2 linked regions of the Oryzias latipes genome follow. The main gene of each other region encodes a partner of the protein of the gene in region 2 in a complex. Links are inferred from orthologs where the notes say so. Each region holds a gene or a part of one and is shown on either strand. Other genes may lie near its edges.

Evidence for each region. Proteins that work in one complex are often made in the same cells at the same time.
Region 1: the proteins of atp8b1 (region 2) and tmem30a are in contact, whole or in part, in a cryo-EM structure (PDB 7VGI), measured with the Homo sapiens proteins. The link is inferred for Oryzias latipes from reciprocal best matches to the Homo sapiens genes ATP8B1 and TMEM30A. Residues at the interface, in NP_001361314.1 of Homo sapiens: Thr138, His359, Trp362, Glu363, Val366, Ser369, Ser370, Trp371, Tyr372, Leu373, Tyr374, Asp375, Gly376, Arg384, Ile388, Phe418, Asn420, Trp421, Asp422, Leu423, Tyr426, Lys430, Asp431, Thr432, Pro433, His939, Trp942, Arg946, Tyr968, Phe971; in NP_060717.1 of Homo sapiens: Lys24, Thr25, Arg26, Arg27, Pro28, Asn30, Phe33, Lys34, Gln35, Gln36, Arg37, Leu38, Pro39, Ala40, Trp41, Gln42, Pro43, Ile44, Leu45, Thr46, Ala47, Val50, Phe54, Ile57, Phe61, Ile64, Ile68, Ile75, Phe119, Tyr121.

Annotation. Positions count from the first base shown.
Region 1 is NC_019880.2:15,986,601-15,990,793, forward strand, and holds the start of tmem30a (cell cycle control protein 50A), read right to left. Parts: upstream 2,805-4,193; 5' UTR 2,578-2,804; coding exon 2,329-2,577; intron 1,762-2,328; coding exon 1,642-1,761; intron 1-1,641. UniProt on the Homo sapiens protein: Accessory component of a P4-ATPase flippase complex which catalyzes the hydrolysis of ATP coupled to the transport of aminophospholipids from the outer to the inner leaflet of various membranes and ensures the maintenance of asymmetric distribution of phospholipids.
Region 2 is NC_019870.2:28,409,161-28,412,709, reverse strand, and holds part of atp8b1 (phospholipid-transporting ATPase IC), read right to left. Parts: intron 3,267-3,549; coding exon 3,154-3,266; intron 3,068-3,153; coding exon 2,903-3,067; intron 2,814-2,902; coding exon 2,702-2,813; intron 2,614-2,701; coding exon 2,538-2,613; intron 2,111-2,537; coding exon 1,975-2,110; intron 1,885-1,974; coding exon 1,762-1,884; intron 1,667-1,761; coding exon 1,510-1,666; intron 1,428-1,509; coding exon 1,204-1,427; intron 1-1,203. UniProt on the Homo sapiens protein: Catalytic component of a P4-ATPase flippase complex which catalyzes the hydrolysis of ATP coupled to the transport of phospholipids, in particular phosphatidylcholines (PC), from the outer to the inner leaflet of the plasma membrane.

The DNA of each region.
Region 1 (4,193 bases), on a different chromosome or scaffold from region 2:
TTAATGAAAGCATGTTTAGAAGATCATCTAGTACATTACGGAGCTGCCAGATATCTATGTATGTAGCCTCTCAGCGGAACTCATTTCCTTTTCCAGCATTTCAAACACTACTGCACATGTGCGAAGGATTTATTCTGACCTAAAGTGTGACCATTAATGTTTGTTATAATCAGAAAGGTTATTCTGGGCCCACGTACACGGTTGAAGTCTAATCCGACCATTGATCCGATCAAGATATTTTGCACATGTAACCGCGGCTTTTGCCGTCGACTTGCAGCGTGGCGGAGGCGTGGCATCATGGTGTCTCTCCATCGTGATGTCAGTCAGCCATCACGATGGTATCGTGTCCAAAGGGCTCTTTTAGCGATAAAGTTCACAAAGATTTGAATAAAGAAATACTCCAAAATGCAATTTTGAACTTAATTTTCTTAATACCTGTCCTCCAAATACATGTTAAAGATGAAAACAACTTTCAGAGTGAATCTTTACAGACTTTCCACAGCCACGTAAACTATCCTATAAAGTACAACAGCAGGGCCCGCTGGAGACCGCACTGCCTGAAAGTACAGCACTCAGAAAAGAGGAGAGAATCTGTCGATGGCCTTTTGGCACTCCACCGCTCTCCTGTCCGCTGCAGAGCATGCTCCGCTAAGAGGCATCAGCTCTGCTCAGGCAGCCATTAAAAGGCCACAAAGAATCCCAACCACTTCAATAACTGGCAGACGGTACAGAAATAAAGACAATTAGATGATCAAAGCACAGGATTTTTTTTAGCTTTATGTTTAGAAAGGAAACAGCTGACTCATTTTAATTCATCTTAATTACAACACCGCACAGATTTGACTTGGAATATGTACACTTTTGTGCCCCCCCCCCCACTCCCAATAACTGTTTACTGCACTGAAATATAGATAAAAATATAGATAAATATAAATAAAATATAGATAAATATAGATCTTGTTGAGTAGAAATGTCTTTTGTAAAACTAGAAGAAGAAAAAAGTCAATCACTTCCTTAGCTGTCAGATTTTTTTTGTTCCACTTGTTTTGCAAAAGCAAATAGATGCAAAAAATGCTGACATGCAAATACATGACAACTCTGCAGGAGTTGTGTCAATGAGCTGCTGTTTAAAAACAGGAAGAAGATGTCTTGAAAAGTTAAAAAAAAGGAGCATTTTGATCATTAAAAATATATATTTCATTTTATTAACTATTATTATAATAAATTATTTTAGCAAAAAGTTATAGAAAAAGGTCTTCCACACACTTTTTTTCCTGATTCACCGCAGACAGCGGTCAATGCTAAGCTAATTTCAAATGATTTGGGCTTTTATTTTCACAGCAAAAAAAAAAAAAAAAAAAGAATGGTTTCCAAAGTGTATTTATTTGAGTGCATCTTCCTGGCAGGTGTAAAAAAAAATCAAACAGCTTTAAAGCTTTTTTTGAAAGATCAATAGAGATTTGCTAAAAACCCAGAATGCATAATTTATAAGAACATCATTCAACGACAACCTTCTAGTTTGGACCTTAAATAGATCCAAATGGGTACTTTGTGTCTGGGACACACGGTGATACGGCTGAAGACATGAATAATTCATTTGATGAATAAAGCTCATTTAGTAACAAAATAACCAGAACTAACCTCAAAGGGTTGGTCCAAAGTGAAGTTCACAGAACAGACGCATGATGTTGTGCTGTTCCAGCTGAAGTTCTTAGCACATATGTAACATGGACTATCAATCTCGACACCAGTGTAGTCAATCTAAACAAAAACAAGAGAACAATCTTTAATGACAAGACAAGAGAACAAAATTGTGCTGGAACTTTTAATAGACTTCTTATCAAGCACATAGCATGTTTCAGTCATGACTGTCAAGAATCCATTGGGACACAATGTGATTGATGTAATCAAAACATATTACATTTTACACACATTATAATATATATATATATATATATATATATATATATATATATATAGACACCTACGTGTCAATTAACCTCCTTTTTTCAACAGTCTATAAGCCTTTTATACCACTGCATACTTGAACACTTCCACATTACTGGATACAAAGTTACCCACAATGCATTGCAAAATATCAAGACAGCAGAAGCTCACCAAAATAATTTATGTTTATGACCCCAAATTGTTCAAATAATGTGAATGTGAGGTTTTTTTTTTACTTTAAAAACAAATGTGACAACATTTAATTAATGCGACACAATTAGCTGCTCTTCTTTGAAAGTGTTGACAGCTGAAGTACTGGTTGCATTTGGAATGATTGACATGTAGATCTTTTAACGATCCAACTCGACTAGGAAACGGTACCTCGAACTCTTTGATGTTGTTTGAAGTCACAAACAGCCCGATGCCGATGGGGATGAAGATGAGGCCGATGACGAAGAACGCCGGCAGTACGGTGCCCGCCGTCAGAATCGGCTGCCAAGCGGGTAGCCTTTGCTGTTTGAATGCTGTATTGTCCGGTTTTTTGCTTTTGATTGCTCCTGGTCCACCGTGACTCGAAGAGCCAGAGTGGTGGCCGTCCTCTTCCTTAGCGTTGTAGCTTGACGCCATCATGGTTCGCTAACCGCTTCGAGCAAAACAATCCCGACACTTGGCAGCTGGGAGCTAGGCGGGGATCTCGGACGCGAAGAAAAAAGTGGAACAAGAACCTAAGAAGTCTTCCGGTAACTGAACTTATCCCCCCGTCTAGTCAAAGTGCCGACTCATATTTGTATCGATCTGACAACTTTCGTTAATCCTGGCTGGGAAGAAACCGGAAGCTGCTGGCCCAATAGAACGGCGCTACGTGGCAGTGACGTCACCGGAGAATGTTTGGTGTAGCCGAGAGGAGCACTCTAGAGCAGGGGTGTCAAACTCAATGAGTTATAACGCTAGAGGAGACACGCCCGCTTGGGAAGCCTGGCCGACGGTGGTGGAGCGCGACGCCATCTTGGTGAGGTCGACGGCGCCCACATTCTATAGCCTTTGGTGGCATCTAAGTAGCTTATATATAATTTATATATATATTTATGTTTATATATATTTATACATTTATATAAATATATAATATATATGTATATCATTTATATACATACATAAAATAATTTGTTGTTGTTAAATAAGAGAAACAGGCAGCATTAAAAGCTCAAACTTTAATGAAAAATGCACAGTAGCAGGACTTCTTACAAAAAACAATTACAAAGAATTTTTAAAAATAATTTTAAAGCATGTACTAGAAGTTTTAGACCTCTTTGACATGTAATTTTCAATTCTTTAGAAAAGCCCAACAATAAGTCAATAATAATAATAAATAATAACAGTATATTCATAATAAGTCAATAATTATAATAATAATAATAATAAATCAATTATAAATAATAATAAATTAATCCTGCATGGTTTCTTTTTCATTCTGAAACATTCCTGGGAAACAGCAGCTGGTCTTGGAGGATTGGTGACCTCTTTTGCTTCAGGCTGTAGGTGGACCTCCACTGCTGGTGGCTCTTCAGGGTTGGTGGTGTGAGTGTCAGCAGTGGGCTGCACCCTCCCCATCGTGAAGAATGGATGTTGTAGTGCTTCACTTGGAGAGATGCGTTTGCTTGGATCCACCATTAGCATCCGCTTGAGCAGGTCCACTAACTGTTCCACTTCTTTGATTTTTGTTTTGTCCAAACAGCTGTGGATGAGTTGGTCACAGGACAAGAACTGAATGTCGTCTTCGACCAGTCTCCCTTTTTTCCTGCTTTGCTGTTGGGGTGTGTCCAGCTTCCAGACATCCTGAGAGTTTTCTTTGGTCTTGGTAAAAAACCTTGTGGTGTAAAACCCTTGGTTTAGAACTTTTTCCTCGGGCATGCCTTGCATCTTCACCATGGCTCGGATGATGTTATAATCGGTGTCCCATCCATAAATAAAGGTCCCCGTGTACAGCACAAAGAGAATGTAGCCAACTGTCCACAAATCTACATGTTGGTCTAAGGGCAGACCCAGGATGACTTCAGTTGCCCTGTAGCAAATGTTCTGTATCGTAGCTCCACTACGCATATGTCTAATTTTCTCTGCCAAACCAAAATCTATGAGTTTGACCCTGAAAGGGTCTGAAACTTGATCCACCAGCATGATGTTCAATCAATCAATCAATCAATCAATCAATCAATCTTTATTTATATAGCACTTTAACATCTGCCAGACAT
Region 2 (3,549 bases):
GATGGAAATTTTGGCGGGAACTGGAACACGCCATCGTAAAGCATCCCAAACACGCTCAATAGTTTACATGTCCAGTGAGGATGCTGGGATGTTTTTAGCTTCCAAGAATTGTGGAGAGATCCTTGCAACATTGAGCCGTGCATCATCACACTGCAACATTGAACCGTGCATTATCATGCCACAGCATAATAATGCACGTGATGTTCTTTGATGTACAGCACAACAACATCCCTTAGTACAGGGGTGTCCAATTCCAGGCCTCAAGGGCCAGTGTCCTATATGTTTTCCAATCAACCTGCCTTTGAAGCTCCTAATTGGCTAAACACACCTGATCCAGGTAATCAACAGCAGATGAGGCAGGGTTTCTGGAAAACCAGCAGGCTGCCGGCTCTCGAAGCCTGGAGTTGGACACCCCTGCCTTAGGATCTCCTCATGGTAGGTCTGAATTCAAAACGCCATCAATAAAATGCACCCGTGTTGGTCATCCATAGCATACATCTGCCCACACCACAACCCAAAGCTCCATGGGCCACTCAACCGCATTTTCTCTATGTGAAGGAGATGTGTTGCACTGCCTGAGGCAGATGGTGGTCCACCAGGTATTGACTGGTTCCCAGACTCATCTTTGAGTTCGCCTCATGACAAACGGGACCAAAAAGTAAAGTTTTGCATTTATATTTTTGATAACACTGCATGTTATCAGCCAAGTTTCTCTTAGTTCCCCCCCTCAATAGTGAAGGGAGAACTGCAACAAACAGTCGAATCCTGCTCAGGAAACATCGGGCTGCTGCTGTTTGTATGCAGGAGGTTTTTGAAGAATAAAAATAATAACAAAAATAATAATAATAATAATAAAATATTTAGTTTGTATTTTCTGTACAAAAATCTAAAACTCTAAACTCAGCTTGAGATTTCTTTTGAGGCCACATCTATAGTTTCTCCACTGGACTTGTCAGGTTTGATCTTTTGTTATAAAAACTGCTGTGAAGGAAATTGTTTTCTGAAGCAGCAGAAGTGAAACCACATCGATTCTGTGAAGGGTTCGGTTCATTTCATGTGGACATTTAGCTTTTAGAGAATACTTTCTGAAAGTCTAGCCTCCCTATGAGTTCCCCTAATTGTTCATTTGAGACACCCCCCCCCCCCCCACACACACACACACACATACACACACACACACACAGTTTGCAGATGGCGACTGACCTGTGAGGAATATCCGTTGAAGAAGGAATACCAGAAATGGACCAGAGTGAAAGAGAAGTTCTTGAAGAAGAAGAAACGCAGGAACTTGCACATCCGGATGTAGGACCAACGCCCGTGTACCAACAGGAGGCGCTCCAGGTAACGGAACTGAGCAAAGGCGTAATCGCTGGACATGACGGCCTGCATGCCCTCCTGTCCACTGATCCCCACACCGATGTCTGCAGCTGGAGATGGGACGCAGAACGGGTCAGAACCACCGCAAACGAGAAACTGGGAGGCTGGAGCCGCGTTGGCCTCTGAACTTACTCTTGATCATGTTGACGTCATTGGCTCCGTCGCCGATGGACAGCGTCACAGCCTTCTTGTACTTCTTTACCAGGCTCACCACATTCGCCTTTTGTTTGGGGGTCACACGGCAGCAAATGACAGCCTCACACTCACAGGCCATGTCCACAAAGTCGATCTAGACGGAGAAATGTCACAAACTCCTGAATCCCGGTCCAACAATAATATGCATCTACTACACTGAAACAGAAGGTCATGCTGCTCTGGTTTTACCTGTCTCATTTCTTTCTCCCAGTCATTCAATGGTTCTCCAGGGTTGCTGGAAGGTGGACGTCTGCCCAGACGATGGAGGCGAAGGCGGCGACGTTTCTTCTTTTTTTCATACAGAATCTCATTCTGAGAAAACAAAACTCATTCAAGACTACAGAAGGAAATGCACAGAAAGGTAGTCAACAAGATTTCCGCCAAAGTAAAAAAGAGACTAACCAGCCATCCTCCAGTGATGATCAGAGCGTTCTTGCCTGTCTCTGTGAAGAAAGGCTCTTCAGGAGTCTGTCTGGCTCGGCGAAAATTTGTAGGAGGCTGACGCCTTCTGGTGGTCTGACGGATCCTCAGCTTCTCGCTACAAACCCAAAAAACAAGAAGATCAGCCTCAAAGAGAAGCAACAGCTGCATGACATCAGATTTCCTTACAGTTACTCTGTTCTCCCGAAATAGGAACAATTGAAACATTAAGATAATAAATCAAGTTGAGAAAATAAATACATTGAATAAAGTGTCTTTAATCTCTGTCATCACAGTAACTTATCAGTAATTGTGGCTTCAGGCATCTTCTTGTGCTGTGAAACCCGACTCTCAGATGAGAAAGCAGGTCTGAGCTCTACTTTCATGTCAGTTAATTAGGGTAGAAGTTAGGAGTGGCAGTCTTCTGAATGAATCTCCTGATACAGGCTCCTGACGCGCTGTGAGGTAGAACTGGCTCCTCTCTGAAATCTGGACAGAAGGCGTCTTCACGGCTCCTAAAGAGGTCGAGAGGTCATCCCACTTACTTGACATCCTCTCCATAGTGGACTGTCATGTCATCGGTCAGAAGGGAGCAGGAGTATCCGATGTTCTCTGCCGTCTCTGGAGATCCATAAACAATAGAAACTCAGGTTTAAGCTCTAATATCTCCAAGTCGTTCCCTCCTGCAGTGTGAAGCATCAGAATTCACCTTTCTTATCTCCAGTCAGGACCCAGATCTTGATGTCAGCCTTGGCCAGTGTGGCGATGGTTTCTGGAACTCCATCCTGAAGCTTGTCCTCGATAGCGGTTGCTCCAATGAGCTAAATTCAAATGTTTAATGTTTTTAAGCTTTTTGTTTAGCAAAAGCTCCATCGTTTCCATCAATAAAGCAGCTGCCTTCTCTTCTCACCATCAGGTCCTTCTCCACCTCTTCATACACGCTGTCGAGGGCAGCTTCTCGGTCGCCCATGACCAGCTGGGCCTCTTTGTGTTTCCTGGACCAGGCCTCGTACTCATTTGCACTGATGTCTTTGTAACACAAGCACAGCGTCCGCAGCGTATCGTTGGCAAAGATCTAGAACAACAGGAGAATTCAGATCCCAACACCTTATAAAGGCAGGTAAGACATGGTTGTAGAAAGAAGGAGCGCCATGAACCCACATCCAGAGCCTCCTGAGTGGTCTGGCGGTGTTGGGTGTTTGTGGAGAGTCGCTCATAAATGACGGTGTCGGCACCCTTGCAGTACAGACGAATGCGACCATCAGGAAACTTCACTGAAAACAGAGAACAAAGTCAGACAAAAATCATAAATGAGAAATCCCGTTCCTTAAAAAAAAAGAAAAAAAACAATATTGGACATAATTTCCCTCAATATTTGTCCCATGTTTTAAGTTTTTCTAAAAAAATACTAAAAATACTAAAAAGCCATCAACCAAAAGACTAAACCCGGTTTCTGGTTTTCCTCCCGTTTCCATCAGCGTAATATGGCTACGTCAAAAATAAACTTCAACCTTTAATATACTTGGTTGAGTGACCGAAGGAACAGGGCAATTTTTT